4 linked regions of the Arabidopsis thaliana genome follow. The protein of the gene in region 1 binds, or shares a complex with, the protein of each later gene. Each region holds a gene or a part of one and is shown in the gene's direction. Other genes may lie near its edges.

Region 1 (7,041 bases):
TATTAAGGTTTTCAAACTTTGAAGAGATGTTTTGTGAAGAATTTAGTTTGAACTGTTGTAGTGACTAGTCCGGTTTTCGTTAGTTGGTTGGTTTTTGGATTATTATTGATCCAAAATTAACATATTTGAAATTAAACTCAATCCAGCTTTGTTATATTCAAATTTCCTTAGTTCTACCGAGTTCAATAGATCTTAGCATTCGTTTATCTTCTTCATATGACCCCCATGGAATTATGAAATTTAGTTATTTTTTTGCTACAGTTTTTAAATTAACACCAATGAAATACATAAATTGACCCCTATGATCATTCCTTTATACATTTTGACCCCTAGAGCTGCAAGTTCTAGTTCCGCCACTGCCTATTTCTCTGTAGATTTCTGTAAAAATTGAAGTAACCACACAACAACCAAAATTCAACATATTTGAAACACACAAAAATATAAAATATTATTGATCATATCCAAAAAAGAAAAAGAAAAATAGACGATGATCAAAAACTCCAAAAAACAAAAATAACGCCAAAAGGAAATCGGAAAAATTCTCCTTCGGACCGAAACTATAACGATCCTCTAAACCCCTCCAATAAAAAAACACCAAGTCCTTACTTAAGATCTCTAAGTAATTAAAAGTTTACCTATAGAGAGTTATAATTAATTACATACTTATTATATTACTAATCCTGAAACCCAATCTTCTCCCAAATCGCGTTCCTCAATCGCCTTAGATCTCTTCCTTTCGCCGTCCCACCGATTCCTTCGTGCACCGTGAACGACGATCCTCTCCGTCTTGCCAAATACTCGTGCGGCGGAATCATCCGTCTCCCACCGTCGTTGCTATCGTCATCATCCTCGTCATCGTCGTCACTGTCATCGTCAGGTATCGCATGACCTCTATACTCACTCTTCAAGATCTTAGACCAATCGGGGATATTAACCGGAAGCGAACCGGTCTTTGTAATCTCCCGGTTACCTGAATCTCCGGTTTTCGTCGGTTTTCTCCGTAACCGAGAGATTGATATCGATCTTTTCGCGTCGAATGAATTCGGCAATTGATGATCGCCTAAGTTATGAATATCAGATTCGTCGAATTCAAAGACATTCTCATCGGACATCTCTGGTTTTGGTTCTGGATAGATATATTTAGGTTTGACAAAAAAAAGCTTCCTTGACGCCATTGATGAAAAACAGAGCGTGTAAAGAAGAATAAAAGAAAGATGATGTTTTTATGAAAACTGGATTCTGGGTTTTGATCAGCTTGTAGAAAAAATCTGAGAGGGTTTTTGTGAAATTTGAGATTGAAGGAGAAATGTGTTGAGATGATCATTTTTATAGAGAAATGTAGTAAAGAGATAAGCTCTCTCATTGGGTTAAACTTATGTGAGTTTATGACTTACACAGTAAACGACAAAAGTACAAAAGAAGATAAAAAAAAAAGTTTATAAGGTGTGGCAAGTCTCACGTTCTTATCGTGAGCTCTCTTTTTTTGTTTCACTCGTCCTTTGTTTTTCTTTTTCTTAAATAGTAAAAACTTTATGAGTTTATGATCAAAATGATGATGTTAATGGAATTTTTATCTTCGTCTTTGATTTAATTTAAGTTATCTTAAGATTTAATGTTGTTAGATATGATTTTTTTAGCTGTTTTAATTTTTTTTTGTTATTAAAATATTTGTTAATTTCTATTTAAATTGACAAAAAAATCTAGAATACACAAAAAATATATTTATTTATTATAAAGTAAAAATATTTACTATTTTTTAAATGTAAAAACGTAAGAATAACATCATTAGTGGGGTGATTAATCACATCCAAACAGCAGAAATCGAATTAAACTGAAAAGCCATTGTTTTAATTAAACCGAAACTAAACCAAAAGAAACCAGACTTATACGAACCGTCCGAACACGTAACCGAAAATTTACGAGAAAATCAAAACTCGTTTCGTCATTATTGACCTCTTGCTCTACGCCGTCTTCTCCAAAGCAAAATCAAAAGCTTCTTCGATCTTATTCTCGTCTGGTTATAATTTCCGATTCTGCATTCCCAATAGGTTCGTGTTTTTGTTAACCCTAATTTCTCTTTGTACCATGGTTGCAAATTTTATCCAGAATCGTTGGAGTAAAGTCTTAGATTTTGGATTGAATCGTTTGTTGCATCGATTAGAAACCTTAATTTTAGGAATCTGTTACTGATTTTGCTTAGTTTTTTATTTGGATCTGTAGGGAATAATGGCTACAGCTACGTATCCGCCTCCTCCACCATATTACAGACTCTACAAGGATTACTCAGAAAACCCTAATTCTGCTCCTGAACCTCCTCCTCCGATTGAAGGCACCTACGTCTGTTTTGGAGGCAACTATACTGTGAGTCTCCTCCACATTTCCCCCTCTTTAAAATCTTCATCTTTATGTGTTTTAGTAGTTTTCATTTTTTTTGGTTCGTAGACTGAAGATGTTCTTCCAAGCTTAGAAGAACAAGGAGTGCCTCAACTTTATCCCAAAGATTCTAATCTTGGTATGTCATTGTTTTAGCTTTGTGAATCAAACTCAAAACCCAATTGTTATTTGCTTTCTAGAGTACGGTTTTTGGTTCTTCCCTTAATTGGAATCAAACTTATTACATGAGTTCATTTGCCTCTTTGTTTCGTTGAAGAAAGTTTCAAATATCTTTGTGTGTAGATTACAAGAATGAACTCAGGTCACTGAATAGAGAACTACAGTTACATATATTGGAGCTTGCTGATGTTCTTGTTGACAGACCTTCTCAATATGCGAAGAGGATTGGTGAAATTTCTTCTATCTTCAAGAATTTGCATCACCTTCTCAATTCCTTGAGGCCTCACCAAGTAAAGAAGATCTCATCTTCGCTTAACTACAACATGATTTCATCAGTTTTTGTTTTCACTGTTTTGATCATCTTCTCTTATGTCCAGGCGAGAGCAACGCTTATTCACATTATGGAACTTCAAATTCAACAGAGGAAACAAGCTGTGGAAGACATTAAAAGGTGTGCATATTTTGTTTGTATACTGTACTTAATGGTGTGCTTATATCAATCCATCATCTGTTCAAAGATTTTTCAGAAACTTTGTTGGTAGTTCTTATGGGTCCGTTTGATGTTTTTGGTTGTGCGCAGAAGAAGAGAAGAAGCACAGCGACTTCTAAAGGATGCTTACCTCACTTTAGATGGTCAATAGAGTCTTTTTTTGTGTGTGTAAATTAGCAATTAATAATCTGTCTGTTATTGTTATTGACCTTCGAAGCTTATTATAATTTGTTAACACTAAAACAAAGTTAATTTGACAATCAACTAAGACTGAATAGTATGAGGATTGTATTAATTAGACCATAATTAACCGGGTTTTCTTTTGAAGGAAAAGAGAAAGAATAAACCGGTGATACAACCGAAACGGAACTATGATATATCGAACATACATTTGATGTGAATGGATCTGTCAATATCTCGAATAAAGAATTTGATTTAAGCAGTTGATTGACACCTGAACCGATGTTTTAGAAACTCATAGAAATACAAATTAAAAATAAATGTTCAGTTTATCCAATTGCAATTAGCCAGTTTCATTTCTTTTAGTTTTATCCAATCTAAAAACTCATTGCAGTTAATTTCAATAATATGACTCTATTGTGTATGAGGATTACTAGTGGGATTGTCCACAGAGGAACATGGCCCAACTCTGTGCACACATTATTGGATAGTCCAAAGATGAATGACACGTCGGATTATTACACCTCTATTCAGTAAACAAAATTGACACGTCCGATTACTTCACGTGGACTAAATAGGGACATGCCTTGTTCACTTACTTAAATAGTTTCTATCAAAATAAATAGCAAATTGTGGAATCATTTTTTGTTTCCACAATGACTCATTTTCTTTATCAATCTTGTATTTTTGTCAACCATATATCAAGATAAAACAAAAACATAGTGTTTAAAAAAGAATTATAATTTATTTATTTAGTGTTCAGCTGTTTGATATGACTTTCTTTAAATTATAATAATACAAAATAATTACATATAATTTAAAATACACCTGATAATAAAAGGATTACGTGGGCCAATAATAGGTGAGATATCACTTGTCAACATAAGTTGGCCCACTGGACCTCATCTCAATTTGAAAATTACGGATATTTCAGGCGTCAGTATCGCGACACGTCACTCAGCTCTCCAATTTTTTCATTCTCTTGATGCTGAAAGACGAAAATGGACAAAAGAGACCAGATATTAACGACGCTTGGTACATCTTGCGAAATACTACTAATATTTTACCAAATGCATGATGGACAAAATGAAAATGCAATAGCCAACAAATTACAAGTAGATGATATTATTGTAGAAACAGGAAACATATTATAATTGGTAAATCTGTTGGACAATAATCTGAACATAACAAAACATGTGGGGGACTCGAATAAATTTTATAGCTAGGGTCATATATAAAAGGACATTCACTTTTTGTTTAGATATATTCTTTGTAATTTTGTATAGACGTTCATTGCCATTATTGTAAACAATAAACATAAATAACCAATGCATTATGCATTATAGATATAATTGTAGGTTAATATATAGCAATGAAAATAGGTGGATTTAATCCTTATAAAATCTTTTAAAAAATCTAGATTCATAACTAGTTGTGTATAATACATATGTCAATTCTACAAAATTCACAACTAGATAATAAGAGCATCTCCATTAGTAGTCTGTCACATAGTTTCTTATTAACTAAAAAATATAAAATAATAATAGAGTAGGAGAGAGATAGAAGAGAGATTGAGAATAGTTTCTCTGCAGAAAAACTTTCGAGTAATGATTGAGAGACTATGTGTATATGTGTGTTTATAATTGGACAGAAACTAAATCATAATAAAATATTATTATATTTTTTTTTTTTAGAAACTTTTAAAGTATCTTACCAATGGAGATGGCCTAATAACTCCTATAACGATACTTTATTTTAATTTTGCATGAATTATCATATATGCCGCGTGCATGTATAGAAGATGTGTATCCACCATGCACGTAGACATTCATTGTAGATTTGTTGTTGTACATATCCACATATAATATGTTATATTTATGTATCACTTTAGCTTACTAAAACAAAGAAGTCATAATTCATAAATAGTTTCAAGTCTTGTATGTGTTTTATTTCCTTTGTCGCACTCACACTACCTATACTTCTTTTATACTATTGCTTTCCTTACAACTAAATTATGACGTTTGTGAGATTTTATTATACTAGAAAATAATCGTCAAATAAAAGAGCGTCTTTGCCTGTTGAACCAATTACTATTTAAAATATAGAGTAGTGTGGTCAATTGATTAATTATTGGTCGATGACCTCTACATAATTGGAGCTTTGAGATACATAACAAAACACAAGTACCAAGAAAAAAAACAAATAATAATAATGCATGTAGTAAGATAATAATCGAGCTTCTTAAATCTTCTCTTGTCTTTAATAATATTCCTATATATTCTAATTATGCATAGAATCCTACGTGATTAAGAAACATCAAATTCTCATTGTTCAGCCGTATGATCGTAATCTTTCTTGTTAGTTGCATATCTTCTACTTGTTGGGATTTCAATTATTGTTTTATCACCGAACAAATAACTGTTGGAAAATTTCATATTATGTCAAATGATCAGCTCCGTATTGTATCTATGCTTATGTTATGTTCGAAAAATGGACTCCTAAAAATGACACATTACAAAAAAAAATAAAAATAAAAAATAGCTTCGAGGCCTTTGAGGGTAAAAGCTCTAACCTCTCTCATAAAAGAATTAAAAATGGATCTTTGGATATCAAGAAAATTATTTTGAAATAATTAAATTGAACCAAAATCAGAAAACAAAACACATGACATTGTTGATTTGTCGTTTACTAAACCGATTTTCATTTGCCTAATTCTATTTTTATTGTGTTAGATCAAATAATGATGTCATCTTGTGTGTTTTACAACTAATAATAATTAAATTAGCAATTAACTATGGTAGACCTTAGCTTCGACCACCCTATACAAGCATATATCAATTTCGGTTATCAAAAAAAAAAGAAAAAAGAATCCGTTTGTAAAATTTTGCTAGTGAATTATATCTCTAATCCATATTCTCGATTGATGAAACATTATTCTGACATACATTAAAAAATTAGTTTAAGAATATTTTTGCAAAACTTATGCGATGTGATAAGCTCACTTTTTTTAGGTGACATGTTCGATCATAAGGTGCCAATAATTCCCTAGAAATAGATTAATCTCTATGTAAAATATCGAATCGTCTAGTGACAAGTACATGGTATACCTACCTATTCACTTATTATTTCTATTTTTGTCGTCCTCATGCATCTTATGTTATAATATCAAATGACGGAAAATGAGGGATGAATTCTATAAGCTAAGAAAACTAAAATAAGGGGGAAATTGCAAGAAGAATGAAAGCAACCTTTCAAATATCCTTATCTTATCCAATCCTTTTCAGGCCATTGACTTATTTTCTAATTAACCTAATTATATATATAAGAAAAAGCTAAGGCATCTTATATTTATATATACATATATCAATTGATTGCTAATAATGTTTTGATTAACTCTGCATATGGCATGTTTTCCAGCGATTTAAGTTCACAAAGAAGATTTTCGTTTTTGTCATCACTAAAAATTATCTAGTTCTTTCTACTTTTTCAGCGTACAATAATCTTTTTTTCTATCAATTGGTACGTTTTTTATTTTCTCAATTTTAATTTTGTTTTCTAGGTACATTTTTAATCGAATTGCACCAAAATATCCAAACAAATCAATAAAACAGGCAGAATGAGGTATTACCGTATTAGTTAAACGAGAAGTGGCTACTTTCCTCAGCGTGATTAAAATGCTTATGGGTTCAGTTTCATAATTCTCATATACGGAACTACGCATTTGACCTCATGCTCTCTATAAATATTAAGATCTGATGTTGAGAGCCCATTAGAACTAAGTTTACGAATGAGCCCATGATAGTTTAACTTGGGCCTAA
Region 2 (8,002 bases), on another chromosome or scaffold:
GTTCGAAATTCTGATATTTATCTGTAAAATACAGCTGATTGTCTGTTCAATTTCTTCTTTGTGTGTGTTTAGATCTCAGTCAAAGTCCACCAATCTGGGGAAGCTGATGGAATATCACGGACCAAGACTTCTTGGTCCTTCATACAAGAACCCTCTTGAAAGTTTTGAACTTTTCCGGAGATTCTCAGTTGAACACCCTGAAGTAAGCATCAACGTTGAATGTTGTCGAGCAAAAGAATCTTTGTCGCAGCTCTGGTTTGGTCTAATGTAAACATCATTTTCAGGTTTATTGGTCATTTGTTATCGATGAGCTTTCACTTGTGTTTCACACTCCTCCGAGGTGTATCCTTAACAAATCAAAACCTGAAGGGACTTGGCTCCCTGATGCAGTTCTTAATATCGCTGAGTGTTGTCTGATGCCTTCAAGCCATCCCAAAAAGGAGGATGATAGTGTGGCTGTTGTATGGCGTAATGAAGGGTTTGATGACTCTCCAGTCAATAGAATGACCATTAAAGAGCTTCGGGAGCAAGTAATGTATGTAAGATGAAACTCTTTATCAGTCATTCTGTTGTGTGATCTCATTATTAAGCTTCCAGTGGTGGTCTTGATACATTTACTTGAAAAGGTTGGTGGCAAATGCGATAAGTGGAAGTTTTGAAAAGGGTGACACAATTGCAATCGATATGCCAATGACAGTTGATGCAGTGATTATATATCTCGCAATCATATTAGCTGGTTGCATTGTTGTCTCCATCGCAGACAGCTTTGCAGCTAAAGAAATAGCAACAAGGTTGAAAATTTCGAAGGCAAAAGGCATATTCACTCAGGTTTGTGACACACCCTGACTCACATCTTTTCGCCTTGTATCTATCCCGTACCATGTGAAATATCTCTTATTGCGTTTTCAGGATTATATACTCAGAGGAGGTCGAAGGTTTCCTTTATACAGGTGACAAAATTGATCTTTCTGTGGCTGATTTTGCAACTCAATGAATGAACAACATAATAATTATATCTAAACTTGTCTCTTTTTTTTTCCTGTAGTCGAGTGGTTGAAGCTGCTCCATCTAAGGTCATTGTCCTCCCGGCTTCAGGTACTGAATTGCATGTTCAGTTAAGAGAACAGGATGTATCATGGATGGATTTTCTTTCCAACGCCAAACCCCATTCTAGGTAAATTGTTTACATCTCTACACTTGCAATCACTCAGAGAGTGTAGATAAGACATGCTCCAATTTTGCTTGCAGTGGAGAGAACTACTATCGTCCGATTTATCTACCTGTAGAGTCTGTGATTAACATTCTCTTCTCATCTGGAACTACAGGTAAAAATAATGTGATCATCAAATTGTAATAGATTTTGTTTAGATGCATCTAATGATTAGTTCTTTTTTCTTAACCAGGTGAGCCGAAAGCTATACCGTGGACACAACTATCACCAATTCGTAGTGCTTGTGATGGATGGGCTCATCTTGATGTCCAAGTGGGTCACACATATTGTTGGCCTACAAATCTTGGATGGGTAATGGGACCAACTCTTATGTTCTCCTGCTTTCTAACTGGTGCAACTCTCGCTCTCTACAGCGGGTCTCCCCTTGGCCGCGGTTTTGGAAAGTTTGTTCAGGCAAGACATCTCCATTGTTGTCTCCTTTTCAATTTTAGTAAGGTTCGATAAATCCTCACTTATTTGTGCTTGATATTACTTCAGGATGCTGGAGTTACAGTTCTTGGTACTGTTCCAAGCTTGGTGAAAACTTGGAAGAGAACAAACTGTATGGAAGGGCTTAATTGGACAAAGATTAAGTAAGGAGCAACAAACCTTGTTTTGTTTTCGGGTTTATACGAGAAATTTTAACTTAGAAGCTGTTGTGTTTTGTTAGGTTTTTCGCCACTACAGGAGAAGCTTCCAATGTTGACGATGTTCTCTGGCTTTCTTCTAAAGCTGATTACAAACCTGTGATCGAATGCTGTGGAGGCACGGAACTTGCTTCGTCATACATCATAGGAAGCCCTCTTCAACCGCAGGCTTTTGGAGCGTTTAGCACACCATCCATGACAACTAGAATCATCATCTTCGATGAAAATGGCGTCCCATATGTGACAAACTGAAACTTTAGACATTTGGAGTATTTTCTTAGAATATCCAGAGATTGATGTAGACTGGTTTTTGCAGCCGGATGATCAACCATGTACTGGAGAAGTCGGTTTGTTCCCCCAGCACCTTGGGGCCACGGATAGACTTCTGAATGCAAATCACGACGAGGTTTACTTCAAGGGAATGCCCATGTATAAGGAAACAGTGAGTAGTTTTAGAACTTCTATATTTACATCTAAACAAAATTGCAAACTTACGTCAGTTAAACGATTCCTCTGTTCTGTTGCGTTCTGCAGCGACTTAGAAGACACGGTGACATTGTGAAGCGAACTGTTGGAGGATATTACAATGTTCAAGGTAGAGCTGATGATACCATGAACCTTGGAGGCATTAAGGTACTACATACATTGTATGTCTATATACCCAACTTCGATTAGAGTTGGAACTTTTCTCAAGTTTTCATCTTTTGTTTATCTGTTATAACGCAGACGAGTTCTATTGAGATCGAACGTGTGTGTGATCAAGCTGATGAGTGCATCTCTGAGACAGCTGCAGTCACCTTAACACCACCTAACGGTGGTCCAGAGTTGCTGGTCATATTCGCAGTCTTGAAAGAAGGGTTCAAGCAACAGAGTGGAGAAGAGCTAAAGATGAAATTTTCAAGAACCATTCAAAAAGATCTTAATCCTCTCTTCAAGGTAATCAATATCTTTGATGAGTTTTTCTATAAATTCAAAGTTATTATAAGATTTTTTGTGTGCTTAAAAATGGATTTTGCAAAAATATTGCAGGTGAGTTTTGTGAAGATTGTGCCGGAGTTTCCAAGAACAGCTTCTAGCAAGCTACTGAGAAGAGTCTTGAGAGATCAGATTAAGCAAGAACTACTATCCTTACGAAGTCGAATATAAAGCCTTGATCTTAAGTTTAACTAGAATAAAATAAGATCTGCTGAGTAGTAGTTGATCTACACATGATTGGGTACTGCTCGGTCCAAATAAGAAAACCGATTAAATCAAATCTACCGGTCCTTGAATTCTCTAGCCTGATTCACATTTACATGACTAAACACTTTGACTTTGTTATGTTTGTGTTTGTGTTTGGTGTATATATTTCATATCAGATTATAATCTTAATTTTCCTCAAGATTATCTTTTGTTTAAATTTGTAAAAATATTTCGGACGATACTCATACATCCCATAAGGCTTTGAGACATCTGAATAGTATCACCACGAATGACCTATGGAACCAGAAGACAACTAGCCGCACCCAACGATACAAAGATAGCGTTAAGATCATTCGAGGTCTAGCTATATCGTGGTATACAAAATCTAGAAAATATAAAGTAAAACCATAGCATTGTTTGGTTCATTTGATTGATGCAAGTCAAACAAACTCGAAAGAATGAGATCTTAATACCAAAACTTCAAAAACACTTGATATTAAACACCTTATTTGGAGGAAACTCTTTTATGATGCTTGTGGTTGGCGGTTTTTTTTTTTGAACCAGAGTGTTGTGAAAATAATGAATTGGGCCTGACTAAAACAAATTGGGCCACAGAAAAAAAAAGAATTAGTAAGAGCAACAAAAAAAAAAGAACCCTAAAGAGCGCGTTTGGATCTGGTTTTATGAAAACCACGAGAGATTTCGTGTTGAGATGATTATGATGTATTGAAGAGTTTTGATCAAAAGAGAGATATAAACCTCGCAACATCAAGAGAAGATCGAGCTAGAAATTGACAACGTCTTCCAATTCCGAGCGCTTCAAGACGATGATTTTGGGGTTATAGCCTATAATTTGAAGAAAAAAAAGGATTGAACTTGTTGTATCTATCCCCAAGTGATGTGGACTAATGTTTTCAGAATTGTAAGTCTTATTCTATCATCTTTTTCCCATTGTGTGTGAAAATTGACTTATTGGTAATACATGATGATTTTTCTTCTACAGGGTGGTCTACATAATGTTTCTTGGTTTCAGTTTCTTCCAAGTGAAACTGAGCTGAATCCTGGCTTTGATAGAAGGTTAAAGCTTTAAGCTTTTTCAATGGGTTGTTTTAGTTTTTCCTTATTGACATTGTACTAATTAGTCTGGTCACTCTGGAGTTTTTTTTTCAGTTCAAGAGCTGAGCAGAATGAAGTTGCAACATATCTTGTACTTTCCTCTCATCTACGGTTGCAGAAGGAAGGGTTTCTTACCACTTGGACCAATTCTTTTGTTGGACCTTGGGATCCATCTCAAGGTTTATACAACCCTGGTAATGCTAAATCTCAATCTGGTACTTTTAAATTTTGTAACTTTATTTACAGTTGTATCTAACCATCATTCCTCGCTGCTGCTCAGATGAAAAGATTAAGCTTTGGCTTTTTCTACCTGGGCGTCATTCATCAATATCTGATAAAGCTCAGGCTGCTGTGTCAAAGCTTAGAGGTATATTCTCCTTATGATTTATTTTCTTCATCGTATTTTGTCGCCTCAATAGATTCAAACATATTGTCTCTATTCTGATTATGACTGTTTAGTGAACATGCCTGTGGTCTATGGTTATCTTGGTATACTTGTCCTTACTTTTCTTTTTCTCCTGTTGAAAGTTGTTGCGTCAGGAATTTGGGTAGCACCTGGGGACTCTGAAGAGATATCAGTTGCCTTTTCACAGTCTTTACGTAATTGCATCGAAAGGTTAGTTTTTTATTATCTGCAGACATAATGGTTGGATTAAGGAAATAATGGATTAGAGTATCATATTAACTTGTTTGATATCGCCACAGAGCATTATCTGGAATTTCCTACATGAGATTTGGAGATGTGTTTTCAAAATTCAGCCCTCAAAGCGAAGAATATTTGAGGTATCTGCAACCTCTTACCAATATAAGCGAGACCATGCGTTATAATCTCTGATGGTTTATTAGCAAATATATCGTCTTTTTTCTCTATGGCTTTTCGATTATGTATTATCCTATAGCTTTCATTAAATAGGGTCTGTGAGACCTAGGTTTCCTGAGTGTAATTCTTAGAATCCAAAGAATTCTATGATTAGGTCTGTGGCTCGCTAATGCTCTGTGGCTCGCTAATGCTCTGTGGATATTTATGTAGGAGGGGACAGCCTACTGTTGAATTCATCTTTGCTGCTACCGAAGAGGCAGTTTTTGTCCATGTCATTATATCTGCCAAGTCCGTAAAGCTTTTTGTTATACTGTTTCAGTTATGGTTTAGTGCTTCACATAGTTATTGAAACTAACTATAATATTTTATGCACGAAGGAATGTCCGCACACTTTCAAGTGGCGATGCTGAAAGAATGTTAAGGAGTTCTTTGAAAAACTCCAGTTATAGGCTTCCAGGTTAGTTATTTTTCCATCATCATTTGGATTGATAAATTATCCTACTTGTCTACGATTTTGATGGAACTAGTTCTAGATGTTTGTTGACCTCTTCTTGCTTTGTACTGTTAGAATACTGTATAGATTGAGAGCATTTTGAACTCAATTTTCAATGCATCCACTCCAAAAAGAAACCTAGTGTAGTCTAGTGCTACTGCTACCTAGCTTCATCAAGCAAAGATTTAACACCTCATTTTTTTGCATGTCACAAGAGCTTTTCGTAAATGTTTGGGATTGGCCAAGAGTGAGGATAATAGATTATGCTACATGTAATTCTATGAAGCCAAACTTTTTGAATTGATACCTGAAATGAAATCCGCCTTCTACACATGCTTAAAGAAAGATAAGAGCTTTTTATTTGATAGAAACACTTCTCACAGGCCTATGTTATTCCCACCAGTTATTGTTTCTCCTCATGGAATGCGGGGCAGCCTTACTGGATTCTGTCCCAATGACCTTGTCAAGCAAGTCTACTTCAGGTACATTTCATACCTTTGCTTTCGAATGCCAAGTCAACATTTTTTGTGAGTGCGTAGCCGTTAATCTGATTAATCCAATTTTCTCAACTAATACTTTTTTCTCACACAGTTCTGGAAACTTAAAAACTTCGACTGGATATGTTGGTCTCCCTTCTCATATTGGTCGTGGGTCCCGTCTGATAAATGGCAATCATTGCTACGTGGAAGTTACACTTGGTTGCTGCCAAAATAGAAATGACAACACAAGTCAAGCTAATTCGACCTTTGCAGTTAACTTGCCCCATAACCAGTGTCCTGAACCTTCAGTTGGGAGTAAAGATCACCGTAAAGGACAATCAGATCTTTCATCAGTTTGTGAAAAAAAGTTCATCTATCCAGCTGAGGCAGTGCTTGTACCAATCTTACAGTCGGCATTTGCGAAATTTTCTTTGAAAAGGTAAATTGACTAGGTGAGGTGGTTATTTAGAATTCATTGAGTACTTAACGGTAAGATCCAGATTGGCTATACATAAAATTTATTTCGTTTCTGTTGAATTCCATGTATGTATTAAAACAAATTGACTCTGTGTGATCGTAGTGGAAGTTTTAGTAATTGTTTCAGACCCATGTTAAATAGATGTAATAGTTGTGATCTTTCCTCAGCTTGGAGCTGATGCAAGGTGAAATCATACTTGCAGATTTTGGCTTCAAAACTGGATAGGCCCGTCACTAGCAGGCTCATCTTTGTTTATGCACTGGTGAGTCTTTTTCATCTATCTCGTCGACATTTGAAGATCAAAAGAAATCCACAAAACAGAGGTCTTGAAATGCCCAAACTGTTCTGAGAAACCGAATGTTTTGTAATCTTCATTATTTGAAGCACCATAGGAGTGAGAGCTGTGGCATTTCCGAGTTTTGTTCCAATGTTATACGTAACGATTTTGTTTTTCATTATAACAGTCTGTCCATGATCCCTGTATATGTGAACTTTATTTTATGCAGGGCTGGTGATTTTGACTGCCTTGGTGCGTCTGAAAATAAGAGTGATGGGTTTTATGAAAAAAATGGTTACAATAGCAGTGGTAGTAGCCGTAATAGCAGCATTAGTTCAACAAGTAGCGCTTCCAGCGGGAGCGGCTGGAGGATGACGTCAAGAACTGGTGATCTTGACGCTGATGCAGATTCTTTGACGTGTAGGCAATCTGGTCTTACTTGTAATGATGATCGCCTAAAAATGGTACGACTTTTATCTATGGAAGGGATGGAGTTTGCATGGTACTGATGAGGAAATTGAATTGTCGATTGTAGCACTAACATGCTTAATCAACATCATATAATGTAGTTTTCCTTATTTTATAATAATTCACGAAGCTAACCAATAAGTAACATAACATTCTTTACAGGGTTCCAAGCGGCCGCGAACAGGGATGGCAGAGTCATTCGGTCAAGTAGGTACTGTCACTGATGCACCTATTCAAGAAGCATATATGTCAGGATTTGTTTCCACTAAAACTAATAAACTGGTGTTCCAGGCATTGAAAATGATCAAATTGGTTGGGATTGGGATGCTGATGATGATGATGATGACAGAGAAGTTGGCATGGATATCAAGGCACTTCTTTCAGAGTTTGGAGACTTTGGTGACTTCTTTGAGAACGATGCTTTACCTTTCGGGGAGGTAATTTTCCCGCTTCTGTTACTGATCATAATAATAATCAAGAAACTATTATCTGCATTCCCTATGCTGGTGAATGATCTGTAGGTCCTGTATTAGCTCAGATATCTAGACTGTATCTCAGAGATGTTTGGTAGGAAGGGTTTTCTGCTTCCCTTTCCCCATTTCTGTCATGCCTTTTATTTTGATTCACTCATATTGCTTTCGGTGTCAATTCTTATGTCATTTATTATGTTTGTGTAGCCACCGGGAACTGCAGAGTCGCATGTGCTCGTTTTTCCTCCAGATTCTGCTGATGTAGGTTCCAGTCCCGTGGATATGATGGATGTATCAGACCAAATCGTTTTGCCTGTTGGGTTTTCCTCTTTTGAGAGCTTTAATCCTGTTCCCCCAATCAT
Region 3 (7,286 bases), on another chromosome or scaffold:
CGATGAGATTGAGAAACCTGAGGCAGAGAGAGTTATCGTAGAAATTGAGTATATAGAATCCAAAGACTTGAACAATGTAACCCAAGTTGATGCAGTTCTCAAGGTATCAATTGTTTTTTCCTGCTAGTATCCTATGCTTTACTGTGAATTCTCATTTGTAATGCTGCCTTGCAAATTTGCAATTATATTCATCTGTTTAGAATTTGGACATTGGAAGTAAGTTGTTTACCTAATACCATTCTGGAACTGCTTTCTTTATTATTCCAGTCACTTGTAACCGAGCTAGACTCCAAGGATTGGGTTTTGGTCTGTGATGCTCTTAATACCATTCGTCGTCTTTCCATATTCCACAAGGAAGAAATGCTGCATATGCTGTAAGTCATTTTCTTTCTACTCGTGATTATGATCAGTTTTAGTAGAGCGAGTTACACGTCGAGAGAATTTTCTAGTCTCACGCTGTCAGCTCTTACAGGGAGAAAGTGATCCTGTTTATCGTGAAATCACTGAAGAACCCAAGAAGTGCTGTAAGTAAAACCGCATGTATGACATCTGCTGACATCTTCAGCTCATATAATGACCATACAATCGATCAATTGGATCTCTTGGTAAATCATCTTTTGCAGATACTCTTGGAATTCTCCTCAAATAGCGGACATTTGTGTGTTCTTATAACAGTAACTCCGAATTCCCTTCTTACAGCTTACTCAACTCCTCCTTAAATCTTCCCAAGACAAGCGATTTGTTTGTGAAGCAGCAGAAAAAGCATTAGTAGCAATGACTGCACATGTTTCTCCTGCCTTGCTGTTGCCAAAGCTTCAACCTTTTCTCAAGAATAGGAATCCTCGGATCCGCGCAAAAGCATCCACGTGCTTCTCCCGATGTGTTCCCCGACTGGTAAATCAAACTGCACTCGATATCATAAAACCAGTCTTGTTCTTTTGTTTTGGATTTGTCATGTCATCACCATGACAACCAATTTGGATCCAGTCCATGTTCCCACCAACATCACCTTTCTTTGGCTGTGTAATCATTAGGGCATTGAAGGCATTAGAGAATATGGAATTGAGAAACTAGTCCAAGCAGCATCGTCTCAGCTCAGTGACCAACTCCCAGAATCTCGGGAGGCTGCACGGGCAGTCTTACTGGAACTTCAGACAGTGTACAAGAAAACTACTAATGTCGAACCGAAGGAGGAGCATCCAGAGCCAGTCACTTGGCAAATCTTCTGCCAATCAAACCTCTCACCTCTTAGTGCACAGGCTGTGATACGTGTCACCAATGTCGCAGGTGTGGCTCGAGAGGGTCTTGTTGCGGGTTCATGACAGTCACAAGCCCTCAGTTTGATATTGTAAGCCTCTGTGAGTAAACGTTGTACGACCACTGTTTCTCTATCTTTGGTTTATGGGTTTGTTTCTTTATTTTGTGTGTGAATATGTCGATGTGGTAAGATAAATCTCAACGACTCAACCGTTAGTTTTAGGCAAAAAGTTAGTCGGTTTATTTGATATATATCATGTTTTAGTCTATATTACATTGGTTTTCTTAAAACTTTTTTTTTTTTTGGCCAAATGTTTTCTTAAAACTAAGATTTCAATATTAAACATTTAGTGCATATACTCTTCTTTCTGTATCTTTGATTGAAAAATTAAAATCCAATTCGTTATAAATTTGATCATATTTTGGTCTATACATTACATTTTTTTTTTTTGATTACTAGATCTCAATATTTTTCCGCAAAGATTACAATTTATGACCACAGAGTTATCAACCATGTAGGATCATCAATAGCAAGTAAACCGGTATAAACCGAACCAGGATCATGCCATTCTGGTCATTACCTCTTGAAGAAGAAACTTTGTATCTTTATAACACGATTCCGTCTCTGCTAAGTTCTTCGTCTTAGCTGCATCTTCAAGCTGTGTCGAAACACCAAGAAAACAACAAATAAACATATAGGATATATCAGAAAAGAGAAGAAATTTTAAAAAAACAATAGTCTCTTCGGTTTGAACGAACCAGGACTTCATTAGTACACTTACCTTTTCGAAATTGTCGAACAATCTGTTGGCTAAATCAGTGAGAGGTTGCTTGTCTTCAGAGGCAGCAGCAGAGATGAGATTGTCGAAATCGTAAAACAAAAATGTGGATTTAAGCCTCAAGTACTTTTTCACATAGTTTAAAGTATCTGGTCCGATCAAATCCTCCATTGCCAAGAGATCAAAAGCATTCTTTTTAACTCTATACATTCTTCCTTTCGTCCCGATATCCGCTACATACACTCCTTTCTTTATGAATGTTCTCGTTCCCGTCTTCTCATTCACGATATCTGTATATTCAAATCGAGGACGAATTCAAAACCGGAAATCAAATGATTCTACCAAATCGAATTCTCATCTTGAATAGTTGTATGGCTCAAAATGTTCAAACATTTGAAGAAAGAAAACAATCAAGAATATAAAATGGCGCTTACTGTTGTAAATAGGAGGAATTGGAAGAGGACCATCAATCCAAAACCCATTGTCTTGTGCCAAGGAAACATTATTTTCGCCGAGAATTCCGGTAAGACCTATTGAGACAGCAAATCCTAATGTCATCCGTCTTGTGATCTGTACCGAATCCGGTTCTTGAAATTCTTCAGTTCTCCTGCAAGCAAACCCGCTGGATTTCCCGGTTTTACGACTCTCGGGTAGTTTCGGAAGAGACGGTAAAGTGTTGGTGAGACTGTTGAGGTCTATGAAGTGAGCCATTGCAGTTAGAGAGTAAGCTTTAGGTGTCAGCCTCTGTTCTTGTGTATTGTTTACGGTTTTTATCCGTTATAAATGAGAAAAGCGGCCATCACAAAGATTTTATCTGAACCAAGGGGTGTTTTCGTAATTCAATATTTTAACTACTCGCTGTTCCTGAATTGATAAAGTAGAGTTCGTGCCGTTTTACGTGACAAAAAAAACTTGTATCTTCTTTGCTTTTTCCTTCACCGATCTGTATTGCCGAGTGTCGCCGATTCCCCAAAATCTTCCCTCCGTTGCTGATCATAAGCACGCCGTTTCCAATCGAAATTCTCCGTGTTATTTCATCGTCTCTGCCATCTTCACTGTCTCGCGTCGCCGTGTTCGATTGAGGTACTCCCACTGCTCCGATTTGAGTATTTAGGGTATGTGTATGAGTGGATTTGACGGTATTGTGATATATCTCAGTTTGGAGTTCTCTCTCTCTGGTCTAAAAGAAATCGTGGAGAGTCCAATGGATCCGCAGACGCAGAACACTTCGTTGCAGCGACTCCAGAATGTTGAGAATGTGAAATTTTGGAAAACTCACTCTTTCCTTAGAGATTTTATTGGACGATTTGATGTGAATGTGTTTTTGTGTTTTTATTTTTGGTTTTCCGGGCAGAGAGTTGTTAAGGTTTTGGAACTAGCTGGTGGAGTGATGGAAGAACTCGCGAGCCCTTCTGGTCCCAAGAAAGAGTTCGTCAACAGCCATTGCCGAGAGTTTATGCAATCTATGAAGGTTTCTTACTCTATCTCTTCTTCAAATATTTTCTGATTTCTTTTGCATTAGTGTATTAATAAACTACCTGATCAAAGAACATTGGGGATCACTTGACACAAGTCTAGCTAGATTAGTGTTCTTGCTGACTCAATCTCTCTGGGGAATTGGTATCTTTTCTCGAGTGTTGATCGTTTGGGCTAATTTGACACAAGTCTATATTAGGGTTCATTACATTTCCTGATCAAAGTTAAGGGCTTTGTTTAGAATTTTGATTTTGGTTTTAGTCTTCAAGATGGCCGCTGCTTCTCGTTTTGTGATTCTTCTGTGACTAGTTAACATATGGGTTCATGTATCACAATCTCTAGGTTTGTATTCCTTTCCTGTTTCTTAGGATTTGACATTGATCCTTTATTCTTAGGCTTAAGGTTTATGAGTGATGGATGCTGATATTTTCATATTGGATGGAATCTCACTGTTTAAAGAACATTTGGGCTCTCATTTGACACATGTCTAGATTAGGGATCATTACATTCTGTGAACAAGTAAAAAGCTTTTGATTCTGCTTTTTTTCTAGAGATAATCATAAAGTTTGAAGATATCAGCTTCATTGTCTGGTTCATGAACTTGTTGATCTTTGACTGTACATAAATGTGCTATAATGTTATCGCCAATCCATAATAAGATGAAGTTCTTGTGAAACTTGCAGGATATACAAGTGACACTAAGGGAAGAGATCAAAAGCGCTTGCGAGTACCGTCCCTTTGAGAAATGCGATTACAACGCGAGAATAGCCAATGAGATCTGCTTCCAGAAGCTTGAATATGTTCTCACGCAGCTTGAAGATCTGAAACAAACTGCTGACCGGTATCCTTCTTCTGATTGATATTGGTATTCATAAAAAGGTTACTTGAAGAACTATACTAAACCATCGGTTGTGATATAGTTTCCAGATGAGTTGTAGACTTGTAGGTTATCCCATTAAAGTATGTCCGGTTTTTACGAATGAGTGGCTTGTTGCAAAAGTAAGATATTATCCTACTTACTATATTAGATTTTGCAAAAAGATTAGGTGATTTTGGTTAGAACATTCACTTGCAATGAATCTGTTCCAAGAATATTAGATACATTACATCCACTGGGAGTTATCAATTTCAGCTTATGGAGAAATCGAACCAATTTTGGGCCAGAGAGAAACGGACCAATTTTATTGCGGTTTAATGTATCGATCAATACTTGGAACCAAATGTGCTAACGTCAATTACGTATATGAACCCCTTCATTCATATGTGGTTTAATAAATTAATAGCATCAACAGCTGAAATTCCCGGTTAGATGTGATAAAACCAAAGCGGTTAAAAAGGGTTAATGAGAACCAATATTGCCGGGTTGGCGGTTACGCCGTTTTGTGCTCTTCTGTTTTAGTTACAGCTCAAGAGACGCGTTGATTGGAGAAGGTGATAGAAATCTCTTGGGTAGAGGGAGAAAATTAGGGTTTAGAGTTGGAGATGAGAAGAGGAACGACGATCTAAGGAGACAAAAGAGAGTAGCTAGATCAGGACGAAATTCCATATTTCCTTCGTTTCTGTTTCTCTCTGAGAATGAGTCATCAATCGCCGCCGATCGCTGAAGTTGATGCCACCGACGATATGCACGAGGCGTTGTTCGCGAAGCGAGGTTGTTGTTTCCTCATGCCCTGCCTTGCCTCATCTCAGCCATCAACTCGCGGCGGATCTGTGTGGTGGCAACGGATCACGACCGTCGACAAACTCGAACCCGACGAGCGATGGTGGATCCGAGGGTGGCGGAGGATGAGGGAGTGGTCGGAGCTCGTCGCTGGACCTAGATGGAAGACGTATATCCGCCGGTTCGGACGCAGCAACTGCTGTGGAGGAGGAGGAGGGAGAGTCGGAAACAGCAGCGGAGGATGCGGAGGTGGTGCAATGCCTAACCGGTCATCGGATCAGGGTAAATTCCGGTACGATCAGTTGAGCTACTCGTTAAATTTCGATGACGGAAATCAAACCGGACATTTTGACGACGAGTTCCCGTACCGAGATTACTCGATGAGATTCGCTGCGCCTTCCTTACCGGTTTCCACTAAATGCTCAATTGATTTCGATAGCGACATTGATAACAAGTGAAAGCCACGCGCTCGACTTTTTATGTTGTCGTGTGTGAGACCAAAATGAGATGGCATTTTGTTTCTTCTTCCAATATTTTTTTATAAATTAGTATTGACTATTGAGTATTATTCTGTCATTACCAATGTAATTACAAAGAAAAGCACCTTTCATCCAAGAAAAAATTTAAATATAGAAATAATTAAACAATTTTTTTTTCAAAACTCTAGAAAAAAATAAAAAATTAGGAACATAGGGAGTAAAAATTTTCAAACCATCAGGAATTAGGTTCATAGGATTTGGATTAGGGTAAAGCGTGTAAGAATTAGTGTAACACTAAGATTATCAGGATTTGGATTAGCGAAAATCGTGTAAGAATTAGTGTTCCACAACTACAAGGATCACTCGTTGATCTGTTTTTTTATAGGATCGCTTGTGTAGCCACCTCTTTCTCCTTTTATGGAATTCATGATGATATATGATCAATTTTTCTCTGATTTTTGTAGTTACCCGTAACCATCCATATTTGCGACTCTTTATTTCTTTGTCAAACAAACTACAATCTTATCTTTTCTTTTGAACTTTTTTTCTGCCACGTATGTTTCCTTGTAGTTGATTTGATCTTACCCTATCATGAATTTGGAAAAAGTTTACCTTTTCGAGGGACTCTATATATATTTGGAAATCACTGACATCATCAAGCACTTTCACCACTTTTGTAGATTCGGAGGAGTAGAATTGCTCGAATGTAATTTACCTGTTTCAAGTCTTTGAATTGGATTTTTAGTGGTGCGTTTGGTTGGATCGCGTTAGGCTTAAGGCAGTAGGCTATCATAATTTTTTGGTGGTTGAAAAGTAATGTTGATAGTTCTTGTGATAGATCTAGTGTGCGCGACCATATGGTGTTTACAATTTTTTCATATTAATTAGTCCATGGAAACATGCATGACATGACCGAAACGAACTTTTATATAAAATGACCAATTTATATAAAATGACCATGACAATTGAATCTTAAGTGAAAGAACGAAGCTATTTTAACCCAAACGATCACGTGAAAATTTTATTTAATCCAAGACTTATCTACATCTTAATAGTTGTCATTTGCTGATGTTTCACATTTAGTTATCAAATTGTTACTCTTTGATCTTTTATTTATTGGATCAAATCCAGTTACGTATAATTTGTAAACTCCGACATGATCTTCTTCGAATACAGTTCACATTCCACAGAGAAAAGATCAAACATGTTTGGTATCTACATTATAATAATACGTGACGTCTATTTATAATTTGGTTTTTATTATATAGACGTCATATATAGTTGTCAAGGATATATTAATTATGAACCTGGTTGAATAACCGAAAAGAACCCTAATCCCAAGAGTTTACTTGTATGACTTTTATTATGATGAAATTAAACAATAAATCATAAACCTATAAATTTAGAATTATCAACCAAAACTTAAGTCGTACGTTTGAGTATATAGACGTCATATTAATTATAAACCTGGTTGAATAAACAAAAAGAACCCTAATCTTGAATTACTTGCATATATGACTTTTATTATGATGAAAATCATAAACTTAAGTTTAGAATTCTCAACCAGTTAAGTCGTGTTCGAATATATAGACGCCATAGTTGTCAAGAAAAATATTAATTATAATTTATAAACCT
Region 4 (9,838 bases), on another chromosome or scaffold:
ATCTTTTGAATATGTTATTCATATATAAATAATATTAATTAAAAAAATTAACTTTTTAAAGAAATTATCAATATCTAGTAAATAATAAATTCATATGTTAAAAAAAAATCAATACACTCGTGCGAGAGGAAAAAAAGGACAATTGGAATTGCCGTTTGACTATTGCCAAGCCCAATTCTAAACTTATACAGATTTATTCCCAACAATGGGCCGAGTATTAGTGACAATTTGACGTTTCCTAAAAGCTTATAGTGATTCGATTTTAATAAAGAAAAGACTATATATGATTTGTAAGAGAATCTCCAATGGTTACAACCCCATGATGGGTTCTCTGCATTTTATAAGAATAAAATTAGCTTTTTTCAATCTTAAAAACTTGCATAAGAGCTCTGAAGTTTTTTGTCCTCCAATGGTTAAAACCACTAATGGGGTTCTCTAAGAAAAAAATTCAAATTTTGTAAAACAATACATACATCCTTTTTGTTTGGTTACAATACATGGTTTTACAAAACATATTCACAAAAAGAAACAACTCTTGGTTGCACATGTTTACTTTTACTCGCTATAATACATTTCCAATTATTATTAATCAAGAGAGTACTAGAATATGAATTAACTATGCTTTGGTTCCGACAAGACAGTGAAACAAGAATGACATTTGCACAAGACCTTTGGTTCTGCCTCCTTGATCTCATCTCCTGCTTCGTCCTATTGACCAAAGAGTTATAATCATGTCAATTACAGAACTTAGTGAACAATGATCAATGTATATTGTGTTGATGCTTACAGTCATATCTGAAGTCCAGAAAGTGAGATTGTCTCTAAGAATCTTCATAATCAGGGTACTGTCCTTGTATAATTCATCACCCAATGCATCCAACTCAGCGATAGCACATTGGCATTGTCCAACATACAAGAACAAAGATCTTGCAACGACAACATTTAGTTTAAGCAATTAATGAATAAAAGCAGCACAAAGAACATAATTACTAGTAACGTCTTCAGGTGACAAAATATGTACCATCATCAGAGCCTCCGGTTGCAGGCCGTAAACAATCCTAGTGGCAAAGTAACAACACATGGTTATGGGATCTCAGAAGCTTCTTTGATTCTCATAGCACCAATCACAAGGAGAGTCAAACCAACGACTCTTGTACCCCAAGTCCTTATAACTTCAGTGTGAAGCCTATTTCAATTTCAAGGTATAGAGCAGTGGATAATCTCAAGGTAAACTACACAGAAAAAACTACAATTCACATAGATAGTTCGAACAATTACTACAAACTTGATATTTACGATGTTTCAACAATTACTTGATCATGAAACCATAGACTACTAGTAATGAATCCAATGGTTCTTGAAACAACTGAAACCTATAAACATTGATGCTTCTTCAAAAACCACCAATCCAGTAACTTAAACCAAAAATAGTCGCAAACATCGATATAAACAATACACTGACGCTAATCCAGAAGATTCATAGTCGTGAATTACCTTAATACTCTGATTCAATCTTCGAGATGTATCCGGCGATGGATTCTGGCGGAAGAAGCATGAAAGGGAGCTGTCTCGGCGTGACTGGAGACGGCGAAAGGAGGTAAAGCTAAGACCCAATTTCTCATTAAGCCCATCTTCATTAAAAACAAGACCTAAACGTGAGAAGTGTGTACGTATGTATATAATGTCTTCTTCCTCTCGCCGCTTATGTTACGAGCACGCAATGTTAACCTTATCAAAATCATAGAAATTTGATCTCAACTCTCAAGTCACCATCATCCTCCACTATCGAGTTCACCATCGTTGTAGTTTGTGGTTGTGGTCCCGATCGTGTTAAGTGGTGACGTGAAGTTATCGTCACGTAACATCCAACCCTAATCATCACCATCTGAGCCACTATTAGCCTTCTTCGTCCTCCTTCTTCACCGGAATCTAGATCTATCATTGGTGCTTTGTTTGGGTCTGTGATACCGAATCCTCTACTTCTTCGTTGCAGAGTGAGATAACGGTGAAACCTTATTCTCGTATTCATGTTAAGGTGTTGTGTTGTTTAATTATTGAACCAACCTAAACCAAGGGATTACGTATAGTTACGGCCATGAATTGAAACTTGATTATTAAGGAACCTTTTGAGTTGATCGGTTATGGCGTCAGTTGGGTTGTGTTAGTGAAGAAGACGATATAGTCAGTTATTGGCTTATTAGAAAGCGTTGGGTTAATTGTCAAACCAGAAGTAGCATTGACATGTACGTGATTTGAATTGTGGCGTTGGTTTAATTATTAAACCGGGGAGTATTTGGTCACGTAAATGGATGTGGCGTAGTCAATTACGTGTTAAGCAACTAATATTAAATTATTAGACTTGGTTTAGTTATTAGATTAAATAACAAATTATTAAGGGAATATAATCTTGATTGATTAATCTAAATTGTTGTAGTTTGAGATCGTTGTTGAGCCGGATCCATTGTTGCTAGTCCTATTTCTTAAAATCCAACCGAGTTGCCAAGGTGAGGGTAGGATCTGTGGAAACATAGTATCACCTTTACTTTTGTATTTCTGAATTTCATTTGTATAAGATTAGACATTGGGTGCTGATTGTTAAAATGTTAGGATTATATATTAAATATTGTTGATTCAGTAATCAAACAATGAATTTGTACTAAGGGATTTAGACAAATTCACTCCTCTCTTAGCTCACAAATAATCAAAGGAAAAGAACTAGGTTGCTTAAACAAAAAGCTAGGGTTTGCTCTGTAATAGTAGTCTCTTGTATTAGGTTAAAGATGATCTCAATGGGGGGTTTGACCCCTCTATTTATACAATAGGTCGAATATACCAAAATATGATAAACTTCTAATTATCTTAGGTTTAAATCTTCATTACTTCTATTCTTCATGAGATCCTCTTCTCTTAAATGGAAGTTTTCCCTTTACACGACCTAAGAAGTTGGTTATGGCGATCTTGATTGTCGACTTAAGTCTTCGGGCGATCTCATGACTTAGGCCCATTAACAGGCTAACCGGGATACCCCGGTTCAATCGAATTCTCGATTTTATTCACATTATTCCTCGGTTTAAATTAGTATTGTCGGAGGTGCTAATTCCTGCACCAACAAATATTATAATACGTGTTGTGTGATATTATGCGATAGGTTGTTAGCGTGATATGCATATTGATTTTTGAATACTCTTTTGTCGTTTTCTTGTACTATATATTTATCTGTTTTGTGTTACCATGTTGAGTAATTTCTCTAATCATTCTTTTGTTTGTTTGTTAAGGTTTAGCGAGGCGGTTCTTGGTCAAAGCCTATACATACATCTCCCCGTTAGGACGCATAACTTAATGGAGGGAAATACTAACTGGAAGCCTAATGAACAAGGCGGAAACCGTGATGCTGCGAATAATCGTATTGATTGGAGATCACAACATGAGCCTGAATTACGGCAAAAGGTTCTTTCAAAAATGTAAGCCATTCTTTCAAGAGTTTCATGTTTCTTTTGTTGGACTCATTGTTCTTATTTGATTATTAACATTCATGAAAGAGAGTAAGGTTTTCTTGGTCATGCTTTCGATGTGATATTTGTAGTTTGCGCATGATAAAGATTGCAACAGTTAAAGCATAAGAGTTGTGCATAAATGTTTATCATAGTTGACAAAACCTAACTTCAACCTTTTGTACTTTAAGTTTTGCATATTCTTTTAACCTCATTACCTGCATTTAGGCTCTTCCTCACTAGGAGAATCTTGTTTTACTCTCGCTTCTATGTACAATTGCTTGGCACATATGTATAATTGTTTCAGTGTTTGTTCGCTAAACGATTATCGTAAGTTCGAATATTAACTACGGATTATTTTCTCTGTTTTGTATTTTTAGTGCAATTAAAATGGTATCACTTCCTCTTGAATATCAGTTATAACCAAATTCTTCATAGTCACTGATATTTTGTTCTCATGTATGTGTAGAGTTGAAAAGTTCAAGGAAAAGTTTCATGCACATGAAGAATATAAGATTAACGACATCGCTTCCAAATTTGAAGAAAATTTTTATAGCATAGCAACCGATAAGGTGTTAAACTACAAATTGTTTCTCCATCTATTAACTTCAGAATCTGAATTTGATATCTTACTCATTGTCCCCTTGCTATGTTTCAGAATGATTACCTTAGGAAACTCAGTGAAACACTGCATTATATACAGAGAACTTACACTAGAGTTCTAGGTAATAAGTTTTTGGTTTCATAATTATACTATTTTAGCTTAATAACAAAGAAATCACTAACTAACTTTTTTTTTCTATGTGTTTATCTAAACATCAGCTTCTCAAGTAGTTGTGAATCAAGCTCAATCTCTTCCCGCCTTGTTGCCATATATGCAGACTACAACGAGCCAACAATGGTTACAGCAAAACACACAGAGCAATCTCTGTGTCATCTGCTTTGCCAAGTCAGGTCCCTATAACCGTTCCCGGTTCTCAAAGACAGATACATGGTAGGCAACAACTTCTTCCTCAGCAGCAACAGCCTCAAATGAATCAAATCCGCCATGGTAATTTACGACCTTCGCACATGCAACAACAAGCTCGGTCACCGCAGCCGCAACATCATCCGCAAAGTTTGTTGAAACAACCTATTCAACAGCCTTTTCCTCAATCAAGCTAACAAAACACTCAATCACTGACCAGAAATCAGTTTTCGATACAACGGGTCAGTTTTAGTCATCAACAACAGATGGTTCTGCCGTCTCAAGAACAGAAACGACAAGAACAAGAGCAACTCATTAATCAACTGACGAATCTTCCAACATCACGACCAAACAATAGAGACCAACAAGGAGCTTTTCAGGTATCCTCGTCTCAGCAGAACAATAATGTTACCTTACATGCAATGTCTCAACAGAAGAATAACCTCCAAAGTATGACTAGAGGTCAACAAGTAGGACAATCTCAACCAATGATGTCACAACAATACCGACAACAATACCCCATGCAGCAGGATCCTCAGAACAGAAACTTACAGAAACATTTGGATTTTGTACAAAACAATACCAATCAATTTCAAGCAGCAAGTTCGTTGCGCCAAACACAAAACATAACAGATCAACAGAACCAGCCACAACAATTAGAGAGAGCAAATCCATCTAGTATGTTTCCTCTCTTACTAACTCTTGTGATAATGTTTTTAGTTCTAATAATGAATATCATTGTAGCATCTCAAGATTCTACGGGAAAGACGGTAAATGTCAATGCCGGAAACTGGCAGGAGGAGACCTATCAGAAGGTATCTTCACTTGCTTTGCTCTTCACTTCTTAACATCACAATTAGGGTTTGATTTTGTTTTCAATTGATTCCCATTCTGATATGTCCTGCAGATAAAAAAACTGAAAGAGATGTGTTTACCTGTTCTCAGTTTAATGCACCAAAGAGTTGCGGAAAAATTGCGGGAGGTACTTTATTTTATAACCTAATTGTTTTGCTTGTGGAACAAGAATTTGTTCTAATGGTTTTCTTAATCATTTTTTTTTCTAAAACTTTGTGTTGTTTTTGGTTTAATAAACCTAATGTTTCCAGACTGAATCTCTTCCGCCGCAACCGATGCAAGCTCAGTGGATTGAAAAGCTAAAGGCGGGAAAATTGTCAATGGAACACCTTATGTTTTTCTTAAATGTTCATAGGAGCAGTGTATCAGAGAAACATAGAGACAAGTTTAGTCAATATGAGTACCACATATTGAAATTTACCAAGAGTCAGACCATGGTTTTGAGGCCAACGCAGCAACAACAAGGACAATTTCCTCCTTCTCAAACAGCAATGCAAACCCAAAGTCCTCAAGTCCATGTGTCACAGTCTCTTTATAAGGAGCAAAGGAGATCACGGTTGATGCCAAGTAGCCAAAATGAGGCCTCGTCTTTGTTGCAAATAAGGCCTAAGTTGGATCCAAGAGACGAGAACATCATTATGGCTTCCTCAGGAAATGTCATGTTACCTTCTGTTAAACAAAATCCTCGGGCCGTAAACACAAATATCAGTTCGGTTCAGTCGTTGCAGAAGCAGAAGCGATTCCATCACCGACAAATGCAACAACAACAACCACAACAAGGGAATCATCAACATCAAATGCAGACAAATGAGATGAATGATGTGAGGATGAGGGAGAGGGTCAACATTAAAGCCAGGTTGCTTGAGCAACAAGTCTCATCGAGTCAGCGCCAGGTTCCAAAGCAAGAGTCTAACGTTTCATCCTCTCAGATACAGAACCACTCTTCTCCTCAGTTAGTTGACCAGCATATTCTTCCTGCGACGATTAACAAAACCGGAACCCCATTGAACTCTAGTGGTTCGGCTTTTGTTGCTCCAGCTCCATCTCCAGTTCCTGGAGATTCTGAAATGCCTATATCTGTTGAGTCTCCAGTTTCTGGTGTTGATGAAATAAACTCAACTTTAGATTCTTCTAGTAAACTTGGCACACAAGAAACTCCTCTGTTATTTGTTCCTCCGCCCGAGCCAATCACAGAGCGGCCTATTGATCGACTTATAAAAGCGGTAAGTAAACTCTATAGCTTATCTAAGTTTACTTTCTTTACCTTCTCCTATTTACTGACCTAATTTTTAATGTGTGTGGCTTTCTAGTTTCAAGCAGCATCACCAAAATCATTGGCAGAATCTGTAAGTGAGATTAGCTCGGTGATTAGTATGGTTGACATGATTGGAGGATCGTTCCCTTCTAGTGGAGGATCTAGAGCTGGTTTAGGCGAGGATTTGAGTGAGAGGACAAGAAACTTTACCACACACGAAGAAACAAATCTGTCTAAGAGAATGAAGCGATCAATCAACATTGTGCCGCCAGATATGTCATCACAAATTGATAGTTATGAACAGTTGAGTAGCCTTGAATCTGAAGTTGTTTCCACAACATCATCTGGCTTGAAAGTTAACAATATTGCGGTAAAATCTACTCTATTGGTATCGAACTACGAAAACAAATGAAACATCGAAATAAATCCATTTTTTCAATCTTGTAGCCTGGTTATGCCCTTTTGCAAGAAATCAAAGAAACAAATGGGAGACTTGTAGAGACAGTGGTAGAGATATGTGATGAAGATTCTTTAGGAACAATCGTCACTTGTACTTATGCTCCTGTGGCTCTCAGTGCCACATTCAAAGATCATTACAAGTCTGGAAAAATTGTAAGTTACTTCAAACTTCTTCTTTTTCCTCACTCTGCTCAGATTTTTTATGTCTCTAAATGTTTGATGCAGGCACAGATTCAACCTTTACGCTTACTATTTCCTATGGATTATCCGTATAGTTCTCCGATAGTTCTCGAGGAAATCTCCTTTGACACTAGGTATGAATCTTTCTTAGAAATCAAGTAACAACGATTGGAGTAAATATATATGATCTTAAGGATTTATATCTGCATGTTTCAGTGTACACAAGTATGAGGATCTATCCGCGAGAACCAGATCAAGGTTCAGTTTGTCCATGAAGGAATTTTCAGAACCAGGGTTTTCGAAAGGAATAGCTCAAACGTGGAATGATTGTGCGAGAGCGACAATGGTTGAGTACGCAGAGAGACATGGTGGAGGCACTTTCAGCTCCAAGTATGGTGCTTGGGAAACGGTTCTAAGAGCTTCATGAGGACTAATACTTCCTTTCTCACTCACCGTACAAGATAGTTTTTAGGTGGGAAGCCTTATAGCCCAAGTTAGGTTTTTTTTTATTTCCTTTGAGATAGAAGTAACATTTATTTGTATGGTGTGGCTCATGTCTTCTTATTGTATATATTTTAACAAGAAATTATAATTGTTTCAAAACCGATAGTATAATAAATTATCTTGAAATATTTAGGCACAAAGCCTTTTTTTTAAAAAAGATTTTAAAGTATTTTATTGTTTTTTCTTATTACATGTTTCATTTATAGAGCCCAAAAGGTTGGAATATAAGTTTTAAAAAAGGATTACAGAAAATGAAGCCAAGCCTATAAAACTAAATCATCCTTAGTAATTTAAACATCCACTCATAAAGATTTTGCTGATGAAACGTGTTGATGAAGTGTTTTGCCCTATGACACGGGCCGAGACGTCAAGCACCGCTGTTGAATTCGCGGGAAACCGCTAGAATTCACCAAAATGTTGAGAATCGTCTTTCCTTCTGTCGATCTCGAACCCATGTCCAAAAATCGTCGATATTCTTTCGGATCAAGTGATGGAAGTCGCTTAAAAATTCTTCAAGTATCATTATCGTCGGGGAAGCTCCACCTCTGACGACACCCATATTGATGTGGCCGGATCTTTGTTCATGTGTGTGCATAAAGAAGTGGTATAGATATTACTCGTCGAACTAATTGGTGGGAACATAGAGGATTTGTGAAGAAACCAAAGACATCAACAATCACCAATAGATGGAGATCTAAACTCGCAAGGCAAGAGAGAACTTGATAAAAGTGGTATCAAAAGTCTTGTCCGAAATCAAAATTATTGATATCGTCGAAGCAAAATTTATAAACCTAATTAAACAGAAAAAAAAAAAAACTGAAATTAATATCCGATTTGGATTAGAGCATGATCGTTTCTAAAGAAACGAGAAGGGTAAGAGAAAAAAAAAAGAAAAAAAAAAAAAGCTCTCGAAAGTATCCTATTGATTTACATGACATGATAAGAGATTTATAAAGCAAAATAAAAAGCTATAGCCTCAAAATTGAAACAATCATGCTGTAGATTCCTATTTTTTTTTCTCGCATCCCAAATAATAGCACAACTTTATAGTCTTTAGAAGGTCTGTACATTTTTTCTCTTTTTCTAAAAAAAGTTTTATATCTATTTCTCCATGAATCAAAAGATCTCTATCTAAACTCCCTGAATTGATACTTCAACATTTATTAACCCATATTTTTGGGTTTATTCGGTTAACTATACTGTTAACCATTTATAACCAGAGAAAACCATACATCAACGAAAGAAGAAAACAAAAATACTCTAGCGAGATTTCTCTCTTAGGCACTCTTCCCGAGTGACCCCAAAGCAGTAAAGAGTTTTTGAAAAACCAGATCTCACCCACTTTTACTTCCTATACAAGGCAATTTTACAACTCCGGTGACCTTTCTTTGCTCTTTCTCGCCGAGGAAACTTCTCTTACCATGCCACCAGGCATGGGCGGTTGGACTATCAACTCAACATGACTCCAGAGGACTCAAACCTCACTTCGGCCCTCCCGCTAGAGCATGTTTCTCAACCTTGAAGCTCTGGAAGAAGACTCCAACAACCGTATTCTCTCTTCTCACGGTATGGTTAAACCTTCTGTCCAGCTTCTAACAATATCTTAACCTCGTTGAACTCTCTTGGAACCTTTTTTAGCATTTGAACCAGCCTGTATGTCATGCTCTATGGCTTAGCAGCATACAGTTCTCTTACTGGGGAAGATAACTCTCACCTCTAAGTGAAGAACCCTCTCGAAACTTTTTAAAAACTCTGAAGAACCGTCTCCCATCATCTCTCCCAAGTCATTCTGCCCAAGTCTCATCATGGCCTTAAGGCACTCTTACTCTGCAAAAGGTAAAGACATCCTAGAGAGTCCTCCTTCTCAGACAGAGACATTAGACAGTCCTCTTATAACAATGAAAAGGAAAGATTTCGAGAGTACATACCTCATCCCAGAAGTCGCCCCTCTACACCATCTCTTAGTGAGCAAGACTCTTCAAAGCAGTTTATGCCCCCTGCTCCAAGACGTATCAAAGCCCTACTCTGGACAACTCAGACCTTATCCAGGAAAACTCTCTAACCCTAATTGGACGACTCACAAATCCTTCTATCCAAAGGCTATGGTCCCTCATCCCCTTTCTCTCC

Evidence for each region.
Region 2: AT5G03220 (region 1) and GCT share a complex: the UniProt entries of both Arabidopsis thaliana proteins name them as parts of the mediator complex.
Region 3: AT5G03220 (region 1) and AT3G01435 share a complex: the UniProt entries of both Arabidopsis thaliana proteins name them as parts of the mediator complex.
Region 4: AT5G03220 (region 1) and AT2G10440 share a complex: the UniProt entries of both Arabidopsis thaliana proteins name them as parts of the mediator complex.

What each region holds. Positions count from the first base shown.
Region 1 is NC_003076.8:763,770-770,810, reverse strand, and holds AT5G03220 (Mediator complex, subunit Med7), read left to right. Parts: upstream 1-1,893; 5' UTR 1,894-2,048; intron 2,049-2,220; 5' UTR 2,221-2,226; coding exon 2,227-2,361; intron 2,362-2,442; coding exon 2,443-2,512; intron 2,513-2,676; coding exon 2,677-2,843; intron 2,844-2,930; coding exon 2,931-3,004; intron 3,005-3,133; coding exon 3,134-3,194; 3' UTR 3,195-3,376; downstream 3,377-7,041. Other genes in the region: AT5G03230 (senescence regulator (Protein of unknown function, DUF584)), read right to left, coding at 675-1,175. UniProt on the Arabidopsis thaliana protein: Component of the Mediator complex, a coactivator involved in the regulated transcription of nearly all RNA polymerase II-dependent genes.
Region 2 is NC_003070.9:20,633,657-20,641,658, forward strand, and holds the start of GCT (RNA polymerase II transcription mediator), read left to right. Parts: upstream 1-3,723; 5' UTR 3,724-3,937; coding exon 3,938-3,961; intron 3,962-4,042; coding exon 4,043-4,116; intron 4,117-4,209; coding exon 4,210-4,349; intron 4,350-4,435; coding exon 4,436-4,522; intron 4,523-4,683; coding exon 4,684-4,771; intron 4,772-4,860; coding exon 4,861-4,938; intron 4,939-5,185; coding exon 5,186-5,263; intron 5,264-5,352; coding exon 5,353-5,432; intron 5,433-5,685; coding exon of another isoform or gene 5,686-5,740; intron 5,741-5,836; coding exon of another isoform or gene 5,837-5,871; coding exon 5,872-5,950; intron 5,951-6,059; coding exon 6,060-6,386; intron 6,387-6,627; coding exon 6,628-6,687; intron 6,688-6,931; coding exon 6,932-7,166; intron 7,167-7,332; coding exon 7,333-7,381; intron 7,382-7,461; coding exon 7,462-7,607; intron 7,608-7,847; coding exon 7,848-8,002. Other genes in the region: AAE18 (acyl-activating enzyme 18), read left to right, coding at 73-202, 285-535, 627-828, 910-950, 1,046-1,174, 1,249-1,325, 1,404-1,624, 1,709-1,803 and 5 more. UniProt on the Arabidopsis thaliana protein: Component of the Mediator complex, a coactivator involved in the regulated transcription of nearly all RNA polymerase II-dependent genes.
Region 3 is NC_003074.8:163,939-171,224, reverse strand, and holds AT3G01435 (uncharacterized protein), read left to right. Parts: upstream 1-2,936; 5' UTR 2,937-3,119; intron 3,120-3,171; exon of another isoform or gene 3,172-3,194; 5' UTR 3,195-3,240; coding exon 3,241-3,507; intron 3,508-4,195; coding exon 4,196-4,372; 3' UTR 4,373-4,711; downstream 4,712-7,286. Other genes in the region: AT3G01450 (ARM repeat superfamily protein), read left to right, coding at 1-103, 268-374, 473-605, 700-894, 1,035-1,322; PnsL3 (PsbQ-like 1), read right to left, coding at 1,818-1,916, 2,040-2,326, 2,471-2,747; AT3G01430 (NHL domain protein), read left to right, coding at 5,088-5,630. UniProt on the Arabidopsis thaliana protein: Component of the Mediator complex, a coactivator involved in the regulated transcription of nearly all RNA polymerase II-dependent genes.
Region 4 is NC_003071.7:4,011,548-4,021,385, reverse strand, and holds AT2G10440 (mediator of RNA polymerase II transcription subunit), read left to right. Parts: upstream 1-3,339; coding exon 3,340-3,461; intron 3,462-3,798; coding exon of another isoform or gene 3,799-3,825; intron 3,826-3,960; coding exon 3,961-4,063; intron 4,064-4,149; coding exon of another isoform or gene 4,150-4,216; intron 4,217-4,313; coding exon of another isoform or gene 4,314-4,372; coding exon 4,373-4,485; intron 4,486-4,575; coding exon 4,576-4,700; intron 4,701-4,743; coding exon 4,744-5,136; intron 5,137-5,178; coding exon 5,179-5,273; intron 5,274-5,365; coding exon 5,366-5,440; intron 5,441-5,564; coding exon 5,565-6,536; intron 6,537-6,623; coding exon 6,624-6,938; intron 6,939-7,015; coding exon 7,016-7,180; intron 7,181-7,222; coding exon 7,223-7,341; intron 7,342-7,423; coding exon 7,424-7,634; downstream 7,635-9,838. Other genes in the region: AT2G10450 (14-3-3 family protein), read right to left, coding at 613-708, 788-880, 1,022-1,081. UniProt on the Arabidopsis thaliana protein: Component of the Mediator complex, a coactivator involved in the regulated transcription of nearly all RNA polymerase II-dependent genes.